Neodiprion lecontei: one gene and its partners. The protein of the gene in region 3 purifies or fractionates together with the protein of the main gene of each other region. This does not show direct contact. Links are inferred from orthologs where the notes say so. Each region holds a gene or a part of one and is shown on either strand. Other genes may lie near its edges.

The links. Proteins that work in one complex are often made in the same cells at the same time.
Region 1: the proteins of splicing factor 3B subunit 1 (region 3) and serine/arginine repetitive matrix protein 1 purify together in Homo sapiens (co-immunoprecipitation; 3 studies listed by BioGRID and IntAct, with this or other methods). This does not show direct contact. The link is inferred for Neodiprion lecontei from reciprocal best matches to the Homo sapiens genes SF3B1 and SRRM1.
Region 2: the proteins of splicing factor 3B subunit 1 (region 3) and DNA replication licensing factor Mcm5 purify together in Homo sapiens (affinity purification with mass spectrometry; 4 studies listed by BioGRID and IntAct, with this or other methods). This does not show direct contact. The link is inferred for Neodiprion lecontei from reciprocal best matches to the Homo sapiens genes SF3B1 and MCM5.

What each region holds. Positions count from the first base shown.
Region 1 is NC_060260.1:24,701,224-24,708,270, reverse strand, and holds the start of serine/arginine repetitive matrix protein 1, read left to right. Parts: upstream 1-2,951; 5' UTR 2,952-3,108; intron 3,109-3,192; 5' UTR 3,193-3,282; coding exon 3,283-3,294; intron 3,295-3,382; coding exon 3,383-3,472; intron 3,473-4,494; coding exon 4,495-4,617; intron 4,618-6,402; exon of another isoform or gene 6,403-7,047. Other genes in the region: uncharacterized protein LOC124293066, read left to right, coding at 296-378. UniProt on the Homo sapiens protein: Part of pre- and post-splicing multiprotein mRNP complexes. As a component of the minor spliceosome, involved in the splicing of U12-type introns in pre-mRNAs. Involved in numerous pre-mRNA processing events.
Region 2 is NC_060266.1:1,281,996-1,291,178, forward strand, and holds DNA replication licensing factor Mcm5, read left to right. Parts: upstream 1-2,993; 5' UTR 2,994-3,160; coding exon 3,161-3,315; intron 3,316-3,769; coding exon 3,770-4,025; intron 4,026-4,156; coding exon 4,157-4,329; intron 4,330-4,413; coding exon 4,414-4,751; intron 4,752-4,821; coding exon 4,822-5,168; intron 5,169-5,255; coding exon 5,256-5,689; intron 5,690-5,763; coding exon 5,764-6,035; intron 6,036-6,098; coding exon 6,099-6,328; 3' UTR 6,329-6,357; intron 6,358-6,361; exon of another isoform or gene 6,362-6,432; coding exon of another isoform or gene 6,433-6,481; intron 6,482-6,571; coding exon of another isoform or gene 6,572-6,966; intron 6,967-7,030; coding exon of another isoform or gene 7,031-7,147; intron 7,148-7,218; coding exon of another isoform or gene 7,219-7,422; 3' UTR 7,423-7,587; downstream 7,588-9,183. Other genes in the region: cilia- and flagella-associated protein 36, read right to left, coding at 894-1,151, 1,233-1,286, 1,342-1,687, 1,761-1,948, 2,070-2,245, 2,344-2,452; 1,5-anhydro-D-fructose reductase, read right to left, coding at 6,433-6,481, 6,572-6,966, 7,031-7,147, 7,219-7,422, 7,597-7,761, 7,895-8,042, 8,735-8,763. UniProt on the Homo sapiens protein: Acts as a component of the MCM2-7 complex (MCM complex) which is the replicative helicase essential for 'once per cell cycle' DNA replication initiation and elongation in eukaryotic cells.
Region 3 is NC_060262.1:17,196,768-17,203,554, forward strand, and holds the start of splicing factor 3B subunit 1, read left to right. Parts: upstream 1-2,655; 5' UTR 2,656-2,878; coding exon 2,879-2,906; intron 2,907-3,223; coding exon 3,224-3,402; intron 3,403-3,529; coding exon 3,530-3,616; intron 3,617-5,746; coding exon 5,747-5,873; intron 5,874-5,895; exon of another isoform or gene 5,896-6,787. UniProt on the Homo sapiens protein: Component of the 17S U2 SnRNP complex of the spliceosome, a large ribonucleoprotein complex that removes introns from transcribed pre-mRNAs.

The DNA of each region.
Region 1 (7,047 bases), on a different chromosome or scaffold from region 3:
ATTTATTAAATAATTTAAGATTTAGTTTTCATTTATTGAAAAAAGGGCCCAATAGTTCTTCTTGCAAGTTTAAATGCTGTTATTCTTCATTATTTACAAAAAATGGAATTAGTTAAATTTTCAACTAGTTGTATAAAAATACATTAATGGAGAGAGAATATTTTAATCGATAATTCAAAGATTCTACCTTTATTGATATGTAAATAATTTTAAAATAAAACAATTATATCTGCTGTAATGATATTTTATTCGGTGAGATAATTTGAAATGGTTCTTCATTGGATTCGAATTTCAGAACTGCATAAATCAAAACAAGTGAAACTGCTTCAAGCTGAACCCTATGGACATATTTACATCCAGGAGTATTCTATGTACTAAACAAATTTTAATGGCATCCTCTACCCTGCATCGTGCTCTGCAAGTTCTTGATCATAATCAATGACTATTTGTGAATGATTCATTCGTCATAAAATGGATATCTATGCAAATTATTGTCCACATTCAAAGGTATATCAATATAATTGATATTTGCTTTTAAATTTTCACTAATTATTTAAATTGACTTATTTATTTTTATTTAATATGAATTTGATAATTTGACAATATCAAATTAACTTGAACTGCAACTAATTCATTAATTGCAAATGGAATATCTGACCTATATAATTTCATTTAATATACTGTCTGTTCTTCAGATCAAGAATTAATTTTAACTGCCAGTAGGACATTCAAATACTTATGAGAAATGAATTAACTTTTTAGTTATTTATCTAAGAACGTATATTCGAACATACTTTTTATTTCTGTTGCATATAAGTAATTTTTGGTACAAACTGTGGCTGTGTTATAATCATAAACATAAGAGTGCTGAACTTGTATTTCTTAGTATTACATAACAACATATATGTAATTTGAAAGCACAGTAAAAATTTTTTAATAAATGTTTGAGTTTTATTTTCTGTTAGCCTCATTGATGCAACTATTCAAATAAAAGTCTAGGTTTATTACTTGACGTGCAAATCTAATGGCAGGAGACACGTCATTGAACAGGTATATTTCAAATCCTCATTCAACATTCATTGAGTGAAAAGCATACAATCCGATCATGACTGAGGTGTATGCCACCACGGTAATGACCTCCACACTTGCACCACCAACTAGCTTGTTGCCAGATAATTATCTGCGTTGATTTTGTGCTTTGTTTCAAAGTTGCGCAATCGAACATCGAACTATTAGACACGTTTATGTATAGCTATTCATAAACCTACACCACGTGTCAAAAATCAGAATTTCCTATAAAGTAGTCACATGATAATCGATTTGATGGAATCTTTTTAAATTGATGAATCAGTTACCTAATTTGATATTTAAAAATTGTGAAAATAAACACATACAAGGCATCTGAAATATTGATACTATGTTAGTAGTTATTGAAATTTAATCACGTGAAATTGAGGTTGCATATATAATTTTGATTTCTTATATAACAGGTGCATTATGCAAAAAATTATGTATTCGTAAGAACTCACAAAAGTTGGAAGTACAATATTTCATATGCAATGTTAAAAAAGTAGATTGTAAATGGTCAGTTTATAAGTGGGTCCATAGATGGAACAATTAAGCACACTGATCATAAAAGGGCCTCTCCTCGCAAAATTCGGTAAAAGTATTGTCCACAGGCAGAAAGCGGGATGAAAATAAAGGTGTCAAATAAAAACATAAGAAATACCATTAAGTAAACCTGTCAAAAGTCAATACTTTTGGCTAATATAATTTTTTAGCCTTTCTTTAAAACTCCTTCACGAGAGGATGGATTTCTCATAAACTATAAGACCTGACACAAGATATAAAAAAAATTTATAATCTACATGTATCCTATTGTTCTGGAAGCACGCAGGGGCTTTTTTTCAATCTAATTTTGTAGAAATGGTGCACGTTTGAAAAGAAATGAGTAGGTTTTTGGCCAATCAATAAGCAATAAATTGAAAAAAAAACAAAATTTACATTAAATAAAAAAACGGCGACGTAATTCCATATAGAATGTATTGTGAAGCGATTGTCAAAATTTCAAATCGATCCATACAACGGTGTTCAAGTAATCTGTCCTTCCACTTTGAAAAGTGGTTTCGAAAAAATTGCGTTTAAAGTTTTACGAGCACTCACGATCAGCGCGCGCTCCGATACACTGTGGCAAAAACGAGAATTGAAGCTTTTAACATTTTTTTTTCACTATAGGACCAACTGGATATTGTTTTCATGACCCCAAAGTATTGTTTAAGCCGAATATAAAAGAAATCGAAATTTCTAAAATCCGAGACTGGTGTTACTGCTTAAGAACGTGATAAACCGATGACAAATATTCTGATCAAAATGAATAATTCGGGGTAATATTTTCTCGTATCTATTTTCTCGGGTTTTGTTTTTACGAGAATTAATCCAGTCATTACACAACAAAGTATAGCGTCCGAACCCTATGAAACTGTCGAGTGTGTCTGATGCAGCGATCTGACTTCTTTAGGCGCAAGGACATATTCCCGAAATATTTGTCATGACACGGTTGACTCTTAATTAATGCATTGAACGATTTGAAAAATTCTGAAACGGCCAAACGACACATTTTGTCCATGTCAAAGCTGGCTGGTGAAGGCGACAACGAACTATATTATACACTTACCAAAGTGGAGAATCTTCCATTTTTTCTGAATCCATTTGTTTAGATTCTGAAGTTTCTTCTAATGATTCCCGTATACGTAATCTTACCGAACTCACAGAGCGGACATGAGCAGACCACTGAGCAGACTGATCGGCAGCCGTCCAAATCCGCGCTTGGTTCCAAATTAATTAAGTCTATGGTCCCAAACCGCGGCCAGAGAGAATAACTCAGGAAATAGCCGGTAGATCGCGCCGTCGTCGGCCAATAGACGCATTACGTGTACCATCTGGCAACACCGTGCGGCAGCAATGTAAGCAGGAAAAGTAAGCAGCATCGCCGCAGCCATTAGCCATGTTGTTAGATTGACTAGTATCGCAGAGTCAACTGTTGTTCGCGAATGTGTGCTGAAACGAAATAATCGTACATATTTTGTCGCTAAAAATATCATCGACTGGGTACGTTTCACTCCACCATCTAAAATTATATTTTCTAGTGACTCAACGTCATTATGCCGTTTCTTCTGCAACTTTAAAATACAGGTTTACTGTTCCCGAGCGTACACAACGCGCAGCAGGCCTTTCGCCCTCGTCCAATTTCAGGCTTAGCAGCGATTGTAACAACCGGCAGAGATGATGTACACGGTGAGATCTTGCGCGTATTTTTCATACAATATCACATCTTTACATTGTGTGTTATCTTCACTAACTGTTTTTGCATATGTATTTACAGGGGACCACGGCATCGCAGGATACGCGGTTCAGCGATAAGGAGAAGAAATTGTTGAAGCAGATGAAATTTGGTGATTCTCTAACCCAAAAGGTAGGGTTCTACTTAGCAATTGAACTTTCCAGATCCAACTAAAAATATATTAGTATTTCATAATGGGGTTTCATTCGAAGCCCCTCGTGAGTGACTCGCCACTTTCAGTCAATTTTCACAACTGAAATACTTTCCGTTAATATTTTAATGCTGCGGACGTGTCCTGAATTTTTAACCGATGTCCGGACAAGCATAGATCAGTTGAACTGCAGTCAAAGCTTTTATGAATTATTATATTCGGTTGCAATCCAAATCCAAAACATACACATGAAGTAAGAACCATGCTGTCAATGTCTGACGCGTTTAGAGTGTTGTGAAATATACATGAAACGCAACTCCCTTGCAGCACGCGGCACTTTTGTGATATTTTAACATATTCACATATTCACTCTTATCAATAGTCATGTGTCATCACATCTAATGAACCTTTATTCTATAATGACGATCTTACTGTCAAGCCAATACTTGTGTATTTTTTTCATCCGGTTTCTTAGGATTCATCTCTAACCTTTCTTTTAGTAAACGGACAGTAATTAGTTTCAATATTTCGTCTTTCAATACCATTGCATATCGGTAATGTATTTTGAATTAATGTCAACGAATCATGTGTAACGTCACTTGGTACGTAGTTTGCTAACACTGAAAACTTAGTGATTTTCTTGTCTCTACTTGAACAGGACATCAATAAATTATAGGGATGAAGTTGGTAACATTACTGTAACGATGCATGTTTAGGATAAATCATTACTTTGCACCTTTAGGAATGTCTGAAATGTAGTAAACTGTGATCAAGTAAACATACTCTTATTTTAAAAAGCCAACTCCTTCAAAGTTATTCTAAAATTGCGCAATAATGATTTTTTTCATACGTTAACGTTACTAACTTCAACCTTGTAATAAATTACGTTACTAAGTTCAACCTTGTACTTTATTAGCTGTGAGTAGGTTACTAGATCATTTTATTTCAATCAAAAGTGAATGATACGGTACGAGTATTGAAAAAAAATAATTTCAAATTACAGGTAGACATGAGCAAAGTAAAATTGGACGTTATTAAGCCCTGGATTACTACCAAAATAAATCAGATCCTTGGCATGGAAGATGATGTAGTGGTTGAGTTCGTCTACAACCAGCTGGAGGAAAAGGTAAGAACATTTAGAATATCCTTTTTGTTTTAAATCGTTACTTATTTTCTTTTTGATTTAAATGGATAGAATGGTCTAAATAATTGAATAAGCAGTTTGTATACTCGGCTTTTTCCCCTCAGCATAGAACATTTACTTTGACACACATTATCATAGATATAGTCCGGACAAAAAGATATGCGATCACACTCAGCTGCTCGTACCAATGAATTATGTGCACTTCATCTTGACAGTTACAAAAATGTCAAACCGATAATTGTAAGGTGTTTTTCATTAAGTTTTCAATAACTTCAACGAAGAAATTTGGCTCAGTAATTCTGTTGGGTGATAACTGAATTATGGTATGCAGTTTTCTCAATAATTCTGCTGTACACAATCATGGAGTTCGATAAAAATTGCAAGAAACGCTTGGCAATGGCGATGGCGATCACATGTCTAGAATGTTTCCTCAAAGAAATTTGTCCAATGATGTATTTCCACATCTCAAATATGAGTATCTCTGTTTCTGTTTCAAAACACCAGTCATTTAATTTTAAAAACATACTTATAACGCAGAAAAATAAATTCAGGGCTCAAAGAACAGTCTTTCTAGTAAATATTATACAAATACATTGGTTTTTTCTTCCAATTGAGCGTAGATTCAAAAAATAGTTGAAACAATCAGTCCACGTTATAAGATCTTTTGATAAATAGACATGAGGTTGATGTTTGGAATATTAATATAATAATACATTATTTTTTTTTTTCAAAATACGCTATTCTGTAACGTTGGGATTTTTTGAAATTCAGTACATCGTAAGGCAAAATTTTTCATACTTTGGAAACTAAACTTTTTCGAAGTCAATCTACAATTGCAACCTAGTAATCTTTTTTTCAATGTTTTGTTACAGTAATATCACTGACTTCAATCTTGTAAATTTACAGTAGTCTGTCTGATATGGCCCCTGACCAAGAGAATTACTGCGCAATAAAAAATAATAATTGTATTATCATTGATAAAAATCAGTTTAATGATTTGATTACTTTTGTTTTGATTTTTATTGTTCAAATCAACTAAAACACTCGAACTGTGAAAGCATAAATCCATATTTCGGGTAAAAGTCCCACATATCTTTGGAATGAATTCATCGTTTATGTAGCACCTGATTTGATATGAATGTTTCCAGTTCAAGAATTTTATCATGGATTACAGAAAACATTTTGGCAAATACTTTATGATTAAAGTTTCGAAGGGTTTAAGTTGTATGATTTTAGCAAATTTGGTTAGACTTGTTTTGTACTTTTTTGATGCATCGTCATTTTGTGTAACTTCAGAATTGTCCTGATCAAAATTGTCATTCATGTCTGAGAAACCTAGAATTGTCATATTATTGACAATAAGATGTAGTTTCGCACCTTCTAATAGCTTTAAATTCTTAAATTTGCTACTATTACAATGAATGAATCTTGGGATGCTAATTTGGTGTTGAAACACTCATAAACATCCTACTCATTGGTCAAACAATGCATTTCTTGCTCAGCAAGGAAAAAATGAAGCAGAACGTATTATTGCCTTTCTGAAGGACGTGAAATTTATTTATCGCAACATCATCATGTAACAGCCTTAATAATTAAATTTGGAAGTATCATTCCTTCTATGTAATGTAGTGATCTTAGCGGTAGATTTAACAAAACAAAGCAGACTTTGACATAAAAAAAAAAGTGAAGTGCGTAGGTGAAAATTGTTGAATTGCACTATATATGACAAGTCTTATCACGTCTCTTTGAATTCCCCATTATTATAAGTAGAAACCGTTGCGGGGGCTCAACCCTTTTGTCCCAATGGCATTCGGATGTGTTCCTCTCTGCATCCGATTGGCCGCCTTTCTATCAACCGTCAACCATAGCGTGATCCGTCTTCTACGTCGTACCACATCGCATCAGCAGCTAAGGACAGCTGCCGCAGTTGCCGATTCTTCACCATCTAGCAACCTCCGCCTTAGCGGAGTCACCATTCCCCGTCATCGTCACCCAGAGACCAGCTACGTTTTTCTACTGCAACATCTTGTCCGTGCGAACGAGTTCCTCATCATCCTGGAGAGCCTCAATCAAGGCTTTGCGTCATGTTGACGCGTGCACCACCTCTTCGTGGAAACCGAGTTGCCTCTTCCGAGGCAATTCAACTGACTGGCTGTCGACGCAGCAGAAAGGCCTTGGTGGCCTTGAACCATGGACCTTGGTTATCACCGGCAGTTTCCCTTCATTCCAAAGATGACAAACATCTGCAGGCCTTGGTCAGGGCTCACCGTTGACCAATGAGAGCGACCCAACATTGAAGACACACCTGCGGCTCTTCTTTAGTCAACGGGGGGGGAAGGGACTTTCTGAACTATTGCTGTTCGATCTCAACTGTCCACCCTTTCAAGGTGGAAGTGAAGTGATCAAAGCTTG
Region 2 (9,183 bases), on a different chromosome or scaffold from region 3:
GACGATCAAATCCAGCCCGAAACTACGGCATAGTACACTTACATGGGCAGTGAAGAGCGTTATCGAAGGGGAGAAAATTTTTATTTAACATCCCTTTTTTTTTCTTCTCTTTTTGTTTAACGAATGATTGTAAATGAATACAAATTACATGAATGTGTAGAAGCGCGGTGATGAAAAAAAAAGGAAGAAAAATTTAATAATAATATTGGTTAATGATAAAATAAGGAGGAAGAAAAAAAATATTTAATTAAATAAATCTTAAAATTAGAAAAGAACTTGGATTAATTTTCACGCTCAATTCCCTTACCCGATCGGGGTGCATTTATTTAATTATAATCACCCGTCATTCTGGCAATGATACATTTCAATGATATGCCACCATAGCTTTGTATGTTAAAATTGATACGAGTACAGAATTCGGTTGTGAATCGAATACATCTGCAAAAAGGTTACAAAACTGTATGCATGTGTTAAAAAAATTGCTTATCATAATATTTTGATAAAATCGCATTTAGTAGCTTTCTGAATAGCAATTCATCTGTAAGTGTTCGTCGTGCGTATAAACATCCATTTGATACTATCTTTGTTCACAAGCCATTGACAATATTATTGAAAAAAATCAGCTTAACTGGAAACCTATTTATTTTATATGTAAGATTCATAATATCGCTACTAATATCGTCTTAGTTGACATTACGATAAACAACGTCTATTATTATCATTAATATCATTAATGCTATTCTAAATATTGGATCATCATAGTTTAATGTTTCTTTGTCTTCGAACGAAGATGAAAAAAACATTTTAACTTGGACAAAGAGTGAAAATTGTGTACACCGAATGGTCTTTTTAAAAGAAATTGTTCATATTATTTCCAGTAACGTGTCATTTGATCATTTGCGGACTACTTCGGCTTTCAGTCTGGCTGCGAGAGCCTTGCGAACTTGAATTTTCGAATCTTCCATCAAGAGTTGCGGCGACTCCAAGTCCTGCATGCCCATCATCGACGCCTCTGCTACCACTCGTGCCGATCCGGGACGAGCCGCGTTTGTCTTCAGACGCTGACTACGAGCCTCCTTCTTCATTGAGACCAGCTTGTCTCTCTGAGTTTTCAGGTATATTTGGCGCTTCCTAATCTCCTCCTCACCAGCCTCGAAACAGAAGACAACATATAAGAAGAAGAAAAGAATGAGGCTTCAATTGTCACTTCGAAAGTTGATGTCTCCACTCACATCGGACAGTTTGCTGCGGCTCGCCGCGGGCAGCAGTGCAGGATCCAAACTCTGCTACGAAGAAGGAACGAATTGAATTTCAATAATGCATGGTATATTTCTTACGTACTTTTCTGTCACTGTTTTTTGTCACCAACTCAATTTCTTCTCCTATTTTATCTTCGCCTGGTTTTTTCAGTTTTTGCGGTATCGGTTGCAAAACGCCAAACTTCTTGGATTTCAAAGCTGTGTTTGTCAGCTGGAGAGGTTCAACGCTGACTACTTCTTCCGTTTCTCGTCTCTCCTGCTCTGGCGAAAAACCCGACGACGATTTTGCCAATGGTTCTTCCATCAGTGCTCGCTCCAGCAGCTGTCTCTCCGTCTTGTACTGTGTCGCCAAACGCTGGTGCTCCCTACGCATTGCCTGATCCGATTCCTGCTCCGTATTCGTTTCATCCTCAAGCTTGTACTGTTTCCTGAAATTGAAACAAACTCGTCGTGACCTCGCAGCCTCACGTCCATCATTCTTAATTTTCAATCTACACCCACTGCAGCAGCTCCTCCATCACCAGTTCGTCCCGTAGACAGTCTTCATCACATATTAGCGACGCTGGAGTCAGGCCGTACTTCTGTTCAATCAAACTCAGTGCCTGCAACTGGAGTTCCAAGTTCTTCTGAATCATCATCCTCTTAAATATCTCGTACTCGTTTGCAGCCCAGATCTGCTCGAAGAGACTCTGCAATTGCGTTTTAGAAGGTTTTATAATTTTTAACATTCTCTATCTCGTTTTGCATCGAGAACTATTTTTACTCTGATAGAGAAGAGAAAATACAAGTGAACATCGAGTGTTCGTTCACCTGCTGAAACTGTATCGGCATTTTTGTGTTCTTGTTTAATGTACAGGCATGCTCAAACTGCTCGGGAGTTATGCCCATGTCCTCCATGTAGCAGCCAAGGAGAAGATCTACCAGGTTTTTATACTCTTGGTAGATGTGGCGATACTCCTCGCTGTCCTCCGTCTCACCGTCGAAAACTAAAAGGGGAGCAAGAGGCGTAAAATGAGTCAGGCTAATCGATAGACGTAAGTAGCATTGAATTCTTTTAATGTAATGGCAATCCGATAATTCTTACTCAGCGATTTTTCTTCTATGAAAGTTAACAATGGTGCCGACCAGATCGGACCCTGCAGAAATCCCACCAGCGAATCAAACACCCAGGAACTGTCATCCTTTTCACTCATAATTATTTTTTTTATTCAGACTTCTCTATCAACCTGTCACTACCGTAAAATTTGTCATCAGACTTCTGTAATGTCAGGCTTGTCGCCATGGCAACAACATCTAAACATTGGTAGTGAAACGTCGCAGCTGACACAGTAGCAGTGTTCAAATCGGAACATTTTGCAATTTCTTGATCCGGAGGGATATTCATTAAAAAAAAAAATATGTAATTTAGAGAATGCAATTTTTTCGGTAAATGCAAAACATCGACACTTTGTCAAAAGAAATGATCATGAATAATTATTATAGCAAGAATATTTGTCATCCAGTTATAATTATTTAATTGTACGCAAACTCATAGATGAAACTTAAAAACAAGCTTGAAGCGTTACCGGTAAAAGAAATTCTTTGATGATATAATTAATTAGTCATATTGATTCATTTTGAATATTTGAAACATGCATTTTGTTCAAGATTCAAAAATGTCTGGTCGTTCTTCCCGCTCCTTACAGGATTCCGATAAAATAAAAAATGGCGACTATAGAGCCAATCAGATGACGAAAAAAAGCCGACATGGCCGACGACTCGCGATTGGTTTTTGTTTTCCCGCGAAAAAACGGGGCCTCGTCAAAGTTAACCTAACCTGACCTGTTGTTTGTGCATGTTTCGCGTTACAATAAAAATAGGCGTCTGTATAAAAGACTTGTAGTTAGCGAGCAATAATAACGATGGAGGGGTTTGATCGGCCAGATACATTCTTTGTGGAACATTTTTCGACCGAAGAACCGGACGATGGAAAGCAGCTAAAATTAAAACAGTGCAAACAGAAGTTCAAGGAGTTTATCCGGCAATTTCACGAGGGCAATTTCAACTACAAATATCGGTAAGCTTTCTCAGCTAAAATCATACATCATACGTCATATCATGTTATAATATCATATCATCATATCATATCATATCATACATCATCATACATCATACATAGTATATTAAATTAAAATTCGGAATCAAAATTTGGATATTCGGTTGACAAGCACTCCGTAGTTCTGGCTGTCCAGGTCCTTGACCTGGTGATTTTGACCAAGTTTTATCATTGTTGAATTTTTTTTAATGATTTTCGTCTCAATTTAAGGGCATACCGACTGAGATGGTTTGCGATGTATAGAATTCATTGCACAGTCGTAGGTTCTTACGTCTATTCAGACGTATCCGACCCCGAGCGAGCTTTAGCGAGCGAGGGTTTTAAAGCTAGTCTTGAATGAAGATGATACATTTGCTCGATCGAAGATTTGCCAATAGTTTTTGTTATCGTTAGTTAATTTCGACGTCGTTTGCAGGGACGCCTTGAAACGGAACTATAATTTGGGTCGGTATTGGGTCGAAGTGAATCTCGAGGACTTGGCTGCATTCGATGAATCCCTCGCAGAGAAAATATATAAACAGCCCCTTGATTATTTACCAGTTTTCGAGGAGGCTGCCACTGATGTTGCTGACGAACTCACCGCACCTAGACCTCAGGATGAAGAAAAGGTCGAGGACATTCAGGTTCTCCTTTCATCCGATGCAAACGCTACTCCTTTCAGGGGGATGAAGGTACGCGCATGTAGATTTATTTCAATCTCGTGCAAAACGGTGGTCTTCTCAATTTCAACGTTGAATTCCAGCAAAGACGATTGTGCTGCTGTGTTTTTTCTGCCACTAATACAAACATCTGTTATTTACAGCACGATGTTGTCTCCAAGCTCGTTAAAGTACCTGGAATCGTAATATCTGCGTCAGGAATCAGGGCAAAGGCGACAAGAATCGCGATACAATGTCGAACCTGCAGAAACGTCGTGCCTGACATAGCCATTCAACCAGGCTTTGAGGGTTACCAAATGCCACGGAAATGTAACACGTTGGTATTATTTCCTTGATCGCGATGAAGATAATCTACCTAACTCGAGTAAAAAGCAATTCTAATCATTTATTTTCATACCAGTCAGCAGACAGGAACAGCCCTAAAGTGCCCGTTGGATCCGTACTTCATAATACCAGACAAGTGCCGATGCGTCGACTTCCAGGTGCTAAAGCTGCAAGAATTACCGGACAATATTCCCCAGGGTGAAGTGCCCAGGCACTTGCAGCTCTATTGCGACCGCTATTTGTGCGAAAGAGTTGTGCCAGGAAACAGAGTCCTCATACTCGGCATTTATTCGATAAAGAAAATCGATAAGACTGGAGGACGACGCGAAACAAGGAACAAGGCAGCAGTAGGCGTTCGAGCGCCGTATATCAGAGTCGTGGGGATTTCCGTGGACGGTGACAACACTGGAAGTGGTGAGCGGTCGTTTAATTTTACCTTATTCAATTCTGAGCTATCATCTGATATCTTTCGTCACCTCATCAGGTACGCAAGCGCCGTTTACCGCGGCCGAGGAGGACGTGTTTCGCCGTCTGGCTGCCGATCCTGAAATCTATGATAGGATATCTAGAAGCATTGCGCCGAGCATTTTCGGCGCTGAGGACATGAAGAAGGCCATCGGCTGTCTGCTCTTCGGCGGCTCGAGAAAGAAAATGCCCGACGGCTTGTGCCGCAGGGGCGACATCAACATTCTCATGCTCGGCGATCCTGGAACGGCCAAATCCCAGCTCCTAAAATTCGTTGAACGCGTTGCTCCCGTCGCCGTTTACACTTCAGGAAAGGGTAGTTCGGCCGCAGGTCTCACCGCGTCCGTTACGCGCGATCCATCGACGGTGAATAGCTTTCAACAGTACCCCCCCCCCTTTCTTCCGCCTTTTTTTTTTGTACCCTAATTACAGCTGTTGATCGATATTCCTTAGAGAAATTTCGTCATGGAAGGTGGAGCGATGGTGTTGGCCGATGGTGGAGTCGTCTGTATAGACGAGTTCGATAAGATGAAGGAGGATGACAGAGTCGCGATTCACGAGGCGATGGAACAGCAAACAATATCGATAGCGAAAGCTGGGATAACGACGACCCTGAATTCGCGATGCTCGGTTCTTGCCGCAGCCAATTCGATATTTGGCAGATGGGACGACACCAAGGGCGAGGAGAACATCGACTTCATGCCTACCATATTGTCCAGATTCGACATGATCTTTATTGTCAAAGATGAACACGATCAGGCCAAGGATATCACACTGGCTAAGCACGTGATGAAAATACACACCAACGCCGGTCAGATCACCGAGCAACAAGCTGACGGCGAATTATCATTGAACCTAATCAAGAAATACATTCATTACTGCCGAACGTGAGTGCTTCACATACTTTTTCGAGCAGAGTTAAATTTTCGTAATCGTTTTTTAACTACTAATTGATTCATAGGAAATGCGGCCCAAGAATAAGCAAGGAAGCTGGCGAGAAGTTGAAGAATCGTTATGTTATGATGCGCAGCGGTACTAGGGAGCACGAAAAAGACACCGAAAAGCGACCGTCCATACCAATAACCGTTCGTCAGCTCGAAGCCATCATCAGAATAACAGAATCTCTTGCTAAAATGAGGCTACAGTCGTTTGCCACCGAAAATCACGTCAACGAGGCCCTCAGGCTCTTTCAAGTGTCGACGCTGGATGCTGCCATGAGCGGATCTTTGGATGGTAAGTTGCAAAAAAAATTTAATTGTATTTAACATGTTTCTACTTAAATTCGCGCTTGTTTAGGAGCGGAAGGCTTTACAACGGACGAGGAGCACGAGATGTTGACGCAGATTGAGAAACAACTGAAACGGCGTTTCGCTATCGGATCTCAAGTGTCTGAGCAGAATATCGTTGCTGATTTCACCAAACAAAAATATCCCGAACGCGCAATCTACAAAGTTATTCACACGATGATAAGACGCGGCGAACTACAGCATCGCATGCAGCGAAAAATGCTCTACAGGCTTTCTTAAACTACACGCCATTAGAGAGATGCACACAGGTGGTAAATTTTTTTAATGTTCGTTTTATTTTACAGTTCATTTTTATTACGGCAAGATTCTGAACTGACTATTTGTTAATGGTCCAACTCGTCCTTAAACGGGTAATGCGGATGTTTTTCGACCCTGAAAAAAGCAGGTAACAAGGGGACAAGTTGATGACGGAAATCAAGAAGAATCTTCGAATTGAAAAAAGTTTCACTTTTTTCTACTCACCCCTTGAAGAACAGAAAGTGAAAAATTCTCCCGTCCACACCGCGATCCAGCACGTCTAGCGAGTTCATCTCGGTTTGTGTTAGTTCGAAATCGAATAGATCGATGTTTTCCTTGATCCGCTGGGGACTGGCACTTTTCGGTATAACAACGACGCCCGCCTGCACAAGGTGGCGCAGCAAAACTTGAGCCGTCGTCTTGCTGTGAGCCGCGGCAATTTCTTTAACGACCGGATGACCCAGAAGATCGGGAAACTTCTCCGCGTTGTAATTGTACTTTGTTTGAAAATGAGTTTTCGCTCCGGGTGAGGCCAGCGGACTGTAAGCGGTCACCGCGATGTTGTACCCTTTGCACAGCTCGCGCAATCGCTTTTGTTGCTGATAGGCGTGGAGCTCGATCTGCGATTGAAATTATAACGGATTTTGTTCTTTGAAATTATAATATATTTTATTTCTGTTTTACCTGTAAGTTACTTGGTTTTATGTCAGCATTATCCCAAATTTCCGTTAATTGTTTATCATTGAAATTGCTCAATCCGATCGATTTTGCTCTACCATTTTTAACCTGTTTTTCCATTTCCTGTGCAAACGATGAAAGTTATTTTGAGAATTCACGGCTTGATTTTTTCTTACATCAATCATTTCTGTTACCTTCCATACAGAGACGGGGTCCGTGTTTAGATCCAGCTTGTAAAAACCGTCTGGATCAATCGTCGGAGCGTATCCATTGGGGTCCTTAACAAATGCAAATGGCATGTGGATCAAGTACATGTCTAAGTAATCAAGTTGTAGCTTTTCCAATGACAATTTGATGAACTTCTCAACGTCGCCTGGTCTGTTTCCGTAATGGGGGAGCTGCAAAATAATTTCAAACTATGGAAATATCGAAGTGGCGTAGCCGCAGACGTCCATGAATGTCCCGTACTCCGTATGTATTTTCTTTTCTATACTGAATGATATCTTGTACTTCATAAAAAAAATTAATCCGAGTATTCAATAAACGAAACAAGATACTCAAGAGATTCACACTTTTGACGTAATGAAGAGATCGCGACGTTGACCGCCCTTGTCAAACCATTTTTTCAAGCTTCGTCCAATGGCCTCTTCATTATTGTAATTGAAAGCCGTGTCGATATGCCTGTACCCGTTTTCCAGCGCGGCTTCGACGGCCTTTTCAATTTCCTCGGGCCCTGACTGAAATATAAATATTTTTCGGGACTGTTATCAAATTTTATGAAATGATCAATTGACGATCTTTAATGTTTTTAGACCACGTGTCGCAAAATTTTTTGTGTTACAATTTACCGAGAAGACGTAACACAATCACCTGCCATGTCCCAAGTCCGACTGTCGGAATCTCGAAGTTCGATGACAATCGTATATTTTGCATCGCTGTTACAGCCGCCGGTATTCCCTTCGAATAATGCAGTGATAGGACAGCGGATAACCCGATTCCAAGTCCGGAAGTATTCCTCCTGAAAAACGTGTTGCATAACTCGATTATTTTTAGCCACGCTGGGCTTGTGCAAAAAATTATATGTATGTCTGTTCAACATAGGAGGGTATGCAATTTAATTTGTACCTAAATCAATAAGCGTTTCAGCTCCGATTTAAATGACGATGGACAGTAGGATCGGTTAATCACCGTTTTGTTGCCTGCGCGATTTACCAGGCAACGATTGCGATTTATACCGGTTACTAAGTATTGTTTAAATAACATTCAAACTACGTTGATCAATCTGCTTGTTCTATCGCGGATTCTGCGTTCCGTTAAGCGCTATTTTTAACCATCGTAAAAGTTTGATGTTTGCGTTTGACTAAGTTTTGAAATACTGGCGCCGCGCCAGTCCCTGACGTTTAACGGTTCGTCACGTCGACGACAGATGGCGGGTGAAACAAATTGCACTGCCAGTCTTGCTCTGCGCCGTGACTGGTTCAGGAAACACGCTTAGCCAATCATAGTACAGAGCATTAGGTGCTACTGCCATGGGTAGTGTTAAAAAAGCTCAATGATATATCAGCGAGAGGGAAAAACTGCGAATTACGTAAAGTTTTCTTCAACGCGTGAATTTGATTTTTCGTTTTAACGGATTCGACAATAGCAATTTCAATTGGAAAACAAAGCGAGACGCTTGAAAAGAAGTAACCAAATTCGGATCGTACACACCACATTCTGTTCGAGATGCGGTAAATCATCGTCAGCTATTCGAAAGAACCTTCGCCAAGACCCAACTCCCGAGGTTATGTTTCACGTCATTCCGGCTTGACTGGATATCCTCTTTGAAATCAACCATGTCGAACTTCAGCCACTTCCTAAGGGCACATCGGTTCGAAATCATCGCTTGCCCGGTTTTGGCTATTGAATTTTACATATGGTGGCGAATGCAGCAGAGCGAACATTGGGGCAGTAAACGGGAGCCAAGTGCAGGTGTAACTTCCTTGCAATTTGCTAAAAATATGTCAAACGAATCGCCGACCAAGGAAAGTGATTTGAAAAAAGCGCTTGATTCGCCAAAGAGTTGATCGAAATACGTATCCGCGTATCGAGGCTTCTTGTAAATGATCCATGTAGTTTGATTCGTCGATTCTAATCTTCTCTCACCTCTCCATGTAAGC
Region 3 (6,787 bases):
GTTAAACTTTTTTTTAAATATTAAGTAATCAATTATTATCTATAAGCTTAGTTATTACTTAAAAACATCTTAAATTTCAATATTTGATCAAAAAATTTAATCATGGAGTTTCCACCACGAGAAAATAAAAATAAAACTTTCTGCTGCGTGTATGGGTGTAATAGCAAGTCTAGTAAGAACAATACAGTTCGATTTTACACTTTTCCTTCGGCAAATTCTAGTTTTGTAGTAATCAAAAATAAATTTGGTGAAGATGAAGTAATTGATCGTCGATTAGCTTGGATAAAAGCATTGAAAATTGGGAATGAGGTTACACAGTCAAAAAAAGTGTTTTCATTACATTTCGCCAAAAATGATTTCATACCAACATGTAAGTAATTACCTATAGAATTTCATTTCATAATTACTTGTTTATCATCAATATGAAATGATATTTTTTGTAGTGTAATATTTGTCAGAAAAAATAAAAAACAATAAACATTAAATTTTATTTTCCATTGCAGCCAATGTTGCGATATTGCACCCACAACTTCATGCGGTGGATCTTTTAAACGAGAAGTTTGGAGACAGAATGCAATTATTTTATACTCATTATCACAACTAGTATCTGATTGCTGTAGGCCACATTTCATTAGATGTCCCGCATCAAGTATATCTTTACCACCAATAAAATTTTTATGACTAGGCTGAGTATTTGCAAACTCACAAATTTCTTGTATTGAAATTTTCATATTTTATTGAATTTTTTTTGAAAATTCGAGTTTAATAACTGTAAATAAATACACGCTTTCACATAAGAACACGAAAGCTGATTTAAAAATGCGTTTTAGAATAGTTACTGCTTCTGCCGCAAGGAGAAGCCACGCCCCCGGCAGATTTCCCAATAGGCTGACAGTATACAGTTGCAGTATCCTAGGGAAATAAATGACGTCATAAATCGTCGTCATTTTTCTACTCTGAACACTGGTGTTTTCGAGGTAAGGTGCTATCAGTGCTTTGCTCACGTGATCAACAGCGTTCAGAAATTTAACAGCTTCCACTATTGATAATTATTATTATTGAATATTGTCATTTAAAAATACCGGTCGTTAAAAACAAATATGGAAAATTTGAATAAATTGTGTTTATTGCAGTGTGAAACAAATATGATGTATGAAATGAAAGTAACGCCAAAAAATGTCGATCACAGTATACTGTACTGCGTTCCGTTTAAACAGTAACCAGTATAGCTAACTATAAAGGACCGGCTTCGCAGTATACTAAATTGACGTCACACCTTACAGTGCTCGCAGTGTATGTCGGAACATACCCCACATGTATATGTAGCTCAGTTCGTTTTAGTTACACTTTTCTACACTTTTTTTACACTTACCCTGAATTTAGCCAATGGAAGGTGCCCTTTCCTAAGGAAAGTGTAAAAAGTGTAGAAATTGTAACTAAAACGAACAGAGCTATCAGGTTTGTTCGTGCTAGCTACACTCTACACTCGCGAGTGTAAACAGAACTACGGTAGTGTACTAGGGATTGCTGGGGAGGTACGTCGGCTTCTCGAGTGTAGCTAACACCCGTATTCATAGTCCCTCCTTATCTCAAGGATAAAGGACGCCTTGATGAAGGCTTCATTAAATCTCAGCGGCGTCCTCGTTTCATAGTCACAACTTGGCTCTCCTTTCCAGAAGGAAGACATATTTAGGGATATGTGATTGCTTATGGTGGTAAAACTGCTGATCGAAGCGCCACTCGGCTATATTTAAATATAACTTAATCCGCTTGGCTCTCATTGTCAAGTTGCGTCGGTTGATTTCACGTTTCATAGACCTTCCTCGACAGAGTAGCCGTATTGGCCTCCTTCTTTCAAGGCAGGTCTCGAGCTTCCTTGAGGAAATCTTCGGCACTGCGATTGGCTGTTTCGTTTCATGTAGCCAACGCTTGCGCTTGCGCTTGGCGTCTATGCACTTATGACCCGTATGACGCAGGATCACAGCCAGTCTACAGGTTAACTTCTTTGAGGTTATACACACTCTCATCACCGACGCAACTTGACAATGAGAGCCAAGCAGATTAAGTTAGATTTAAATATAGCCGAGTGGCGCTTCGATCAGCAGTTTTACCACCATAAGCAATCACATATCCCTAAATATGTCTTCTTTCTGGAAGAGAGAGCCAAGTTGTGACTATGAAACGAGGACGCCTCTGAGATTAAGGAAGCCTTCATCAAGGCGTCCTTTATCCTTGAGACAAGGCGGGACTATGAATACGGGTGTTATTATTTATAAATAGAGGTGCGTTCCGAAACTAACTGTTGACAAGCCTTTATTTCTTTTGCGCTGCCGAGTTCGTAAGTAGCTTTGTCTCTGCCCTAGGGGAGTTTTCAGCGCTACCAGCTAATTCCGGAACGCACCTATAAAATATTCCTCACAGCACTGCGAGCTAACGCATCGGAACCACGACTTTACATGTTTGGATCGGAACGTGATCGGAACGCATTCCTGGTGTATACTGAATACGAATTACCTATTTTATTGGTATTCCTATTGGTTAAGAACTAGGCAGCAGAAGTCCTTCCGCGGTATTTTACTGCCCATGAAAATGCAGACTTCGCATGAGAAAACGCCACGAAGTAATGAAAACGCTATCAAATGACAGCACAAGAAATCATAATAATGAAATAAACCGAACGCTTTGCCCGCCATTTTAATTGATCGTAGTAAATCTGTTATCACCCACATCCATGGTTATTACCTGTTCAGTCGATTCAGATTCTCTCTGCCTTGTGTGTGTCGGTCAATCGTAAATTTGTGAAGAAGCAAGTGCTTGTTTATTCGATCAGTATAAAAGAAGCAATATTTGTAAAATAGTGCGCAGAAGGCTGTAAGCCATGGATTCAATTCCACGAACCCACGAAGGTAGGTTTTGCAAATTAGACTTCACGCTAGCCGAGGCATGACCTGAGCTGAGAATGTTGAATTGATAACGTCGCGCCGACGAAGCTTGACAATATATTGTATTGTATTACTGATGATGCACACTTTCATTTCTTTGCATATTTTCGCCGAATATTTACACTCCCGGCACACACCTAAATAAGCAATATATCCTCTGTAAGAAAGTCAGCCGACATACACACAACACACCTTAAACAGTTGACGGTTATAATTGGTATATAGTTTTTAATAGTTGTATTACAGTCGTACACCGTTATGACCTTTTACATGCATTACAGACATCGAAGCTCAGATCCGTGAAATACAATCGAAAAAGGAGATACAGAATAAAGAGCTGACTGAAAAAGAGCAAGTAGGGTTGGGAAAGACTGGATTCTATGATCAGGACATATACGATGGTAGCAACAACAAATACGATGGTTATGTCACCTCTATTGCAGCTAATGACGAGGTTGAGGTAAATATCTATGTTTATTCGCAAAAACGGATTGCCAAACAAAATTGAAATAGTTTAGGTTGAATGGGGATAATGAAGAATTGAAATAATCAGGTATACGTAAGTCTGATCAAAATATTCTTTTCAGGATGAAGATTATGAACCAAGTACATTTAGTCAAAGCAAGAGGCCAGGCTACAATGCTCCGGCAGCGCTGCTTAATGATGTTGCTCAGGTAAATAATGGTTTACTGAAAATTCGAATGCCAGACCGTCAAAACTTGCAGTATAAGTAAACGAGTTTTGCTTTTGTCTCAGGAGGTCCAACAGGATTGTAAAAATTGTTCATTTTGTAACTATAGAGAAACTGTCCGTTTAAGATTTGAAATTGATCTATTTCATAAGTTTTCCGATACATTCCATTTGCCAAATTTATGGAGAGGCGGCGCAAAAGGGTTGGGGTCAATGAGGGGGTTATGTAACATCAGTCATATTGAAATAGTTGGAATTACTTAAATTGCAGGACCAAAGATGATACTTCCATTTATTTCAAAATGTGACTAATTTTTCATTTCCTGTATGACTACTCGTATTTAATTTCAATAACAAGTGTTATCTAATTATCAATATTTTTCACAATATTCCACAACCTGTTAAGAATGTTTCCTCTCCAATCTGATTTTTTTTTTAATTCATAGGGGTTTCCGCAATCGCTTAGAAGCACCTAATTCTACAAGGTTGAAATTCGTAATGTAAATGTAACAATTACACTTTGTAAAAACCATTAATTATAACTAGGGTTGTCGGAAATTCGGCCAACTATAACAATGCAGAAAACACTCATATTCTTCAAACTCAACTCTTGAAGTTATTTTAATATTGTAAAATAGTGACTTCGTGTTCATTGTTCTATTACATTGGCATTATAGTCGAACCTAGATATATGGCCTTGTCATGGGGCCCGAGAAGAGAAAAAATTCTCTATGAAAAAACTAAAACTAAGGGTTCCTCTTACAATCAAACTAAATCACATCATGCTATTTCTCCTTTAAAATCCATGATTATATTTAACAGCTGAATAATTTTTTCTTCAAAAGTATTCCTTTTTTTAGTTACGCATACCATGTCATTGAACATCTTTTTTCTTTAGTTATTGAATATTTGAGTTTTGCGAATATACTTTTTTTTCTATTAAATATTCACATGAACAGATTTCATCAGTTTGTATAGTACCAAAAAAAAAAATAAGAAATCTAAAAATATCAAGACTGTACAACTGTTTCACAATCCATAACTAAAAAATGATGTTCTGGATATGCTCCGTCTCCATGCATGCTTTCAAAATAAGATTTAGTCATTAATAAAGATATCACTATCTTGTAATATTGAAAAGACTTGAAACAGTTGAGTTCTCACAACAAGAGTATGATTTGCTTTATTGTGGCTTACTTAATTTCAGACAATGCCAAAGTTATGAAATAATAATTTATCCTGAAGGTTCATTGTTACATGATCGTTATCAACTTTAACTTCATCTTTGAGACACTGTCTCCAAGTGTGGCAGTTTTGCAGTGTAGTTGGATACTTCATCTGACTTCAAGTTTTTGGGAAAGTCATTTTAAGATACCATGTCATTCCTGATCGATACTTTTTACAATATCAATAAATTAAATGTTGTAATCCTGTTAAATATTAAGTAATGGTTATGTAATCACTTTCAGAATTTGAAAACTGAAAATATGAAGATATCAATGTTGACATTCATATGAAAAATTGCGGTATTAATCTACAAATGGAAATTTAGCATCTTATCAAAGTTGAGCTTACCTGGGAAAAATGTTTTCATATGATCAGAGAAAGTTCTATGAAATTATATCTAGAATTTGACCTGATGAAAATATATAAAACTATATGCATGTGATTTCACGTGATTTTGTATAATTTTATCTAAGTTAATATTTTCAAATTTGCGTTATAATTTCACATGAATTTATCTGATTATATAAAAACATTTATTCCCAGGTAGATAGAAAGTGATAGTTCAGTTTAATAACGATGCTCTTGAAAATTCAATTTACACCCATTAATATTATCTAATTGTAAGACCCGGATTTGCAGATTGCCATGTAAACATCATATCTAGACCAAGCATTATGTTTAGAAATTTTTTTACATTTCCTGGAAATATCTGTATTTCTCAAGGAATATTTCTTACATTTCAGTAGATACTCTGTCTTGCTTTATTTGATCATCTCCTCGTTGAGTGCTGAGAGTATATTGATACATTGAGATTATTGTAATTTGTATCACATAAACCTCCCTTCAGTTTGCCTTTTTGAAATAGATTTTTTGCTCATTTTGAATAGAGTGAAAAGGACTATGATCCGTTTGCTGATAGACGACGACCGACAATTGCGGATAGAGAAGATGAGTACAGGCAAAAGCGACGACGCATGATCATCTCACCAGAACGTGTCGATCCATTCGCTGAAGGTTGGTAGTATTTTTTGTAAGGCTATAAATTACATTTTAAGTACACTGCAGGTGATTTATATTTATACATTCTATACCCATAAGTACATCATACAACAATTTTATTTTTGTGACTTCATTTTCCAATATATTTTTTAATGCATCCCCTCATTTATTTACTTAATCAGATGTCTCAAGACTAATGCATACGGTTTACACAACCGTGAAGTCAACAATTGATCGGGTTTTGCAGAATTGTTCATTGATGGAAATGTAACATTTTTTTACATCTTACGCAAATTTGTCAGGCATCATAACTATCAGATAATTGAGTGGGTGGATTTAATACTTTAGCGTGCGTCGCTTCATTTACGTGCTTTCATTGAATACTGCTTGGTCGAGTTTAATTAATTTATCACTTTCACATTGCTATTGTTCGTACCTTTCATCATCATATGATAATTTGGGCAATTTCAAATCTTGTTGAAACTTGAAAATCCTTTTTCTGGTTGATGATGTACCATTGAATAAAAATGGGCCTATCTGTTTTCAAGCATGAAGATATTATCCAAAACTACAATCTGCGGCGTGTGACAGTAGGTTAATCAACTTTGACATTTCTTGCCAATAAATGTTTGGGAAAAAACAAAATAATGTCGAAGACCACAAGATCCCATGTTTGGAATCGTGCAGTAGCAATTAGATTTTGGATATTTCTTGCATGGATATAATTTGTATTACAAAGGATAACTGAATTATTTCATTTCAACAAAGTCAACCTTATCTCTGGAATAGTGAAAAGTCTTTCATTAGACTGTTCAATACCATCTTGAGGTTCCATGCATGTGTTGCTACATGACTAGTTGTGCTTTGGCTATTTAATGAAATCAAACAGGAAAATTGGCATTTGTATTTGAAGAGTCAGTTAAATCTTG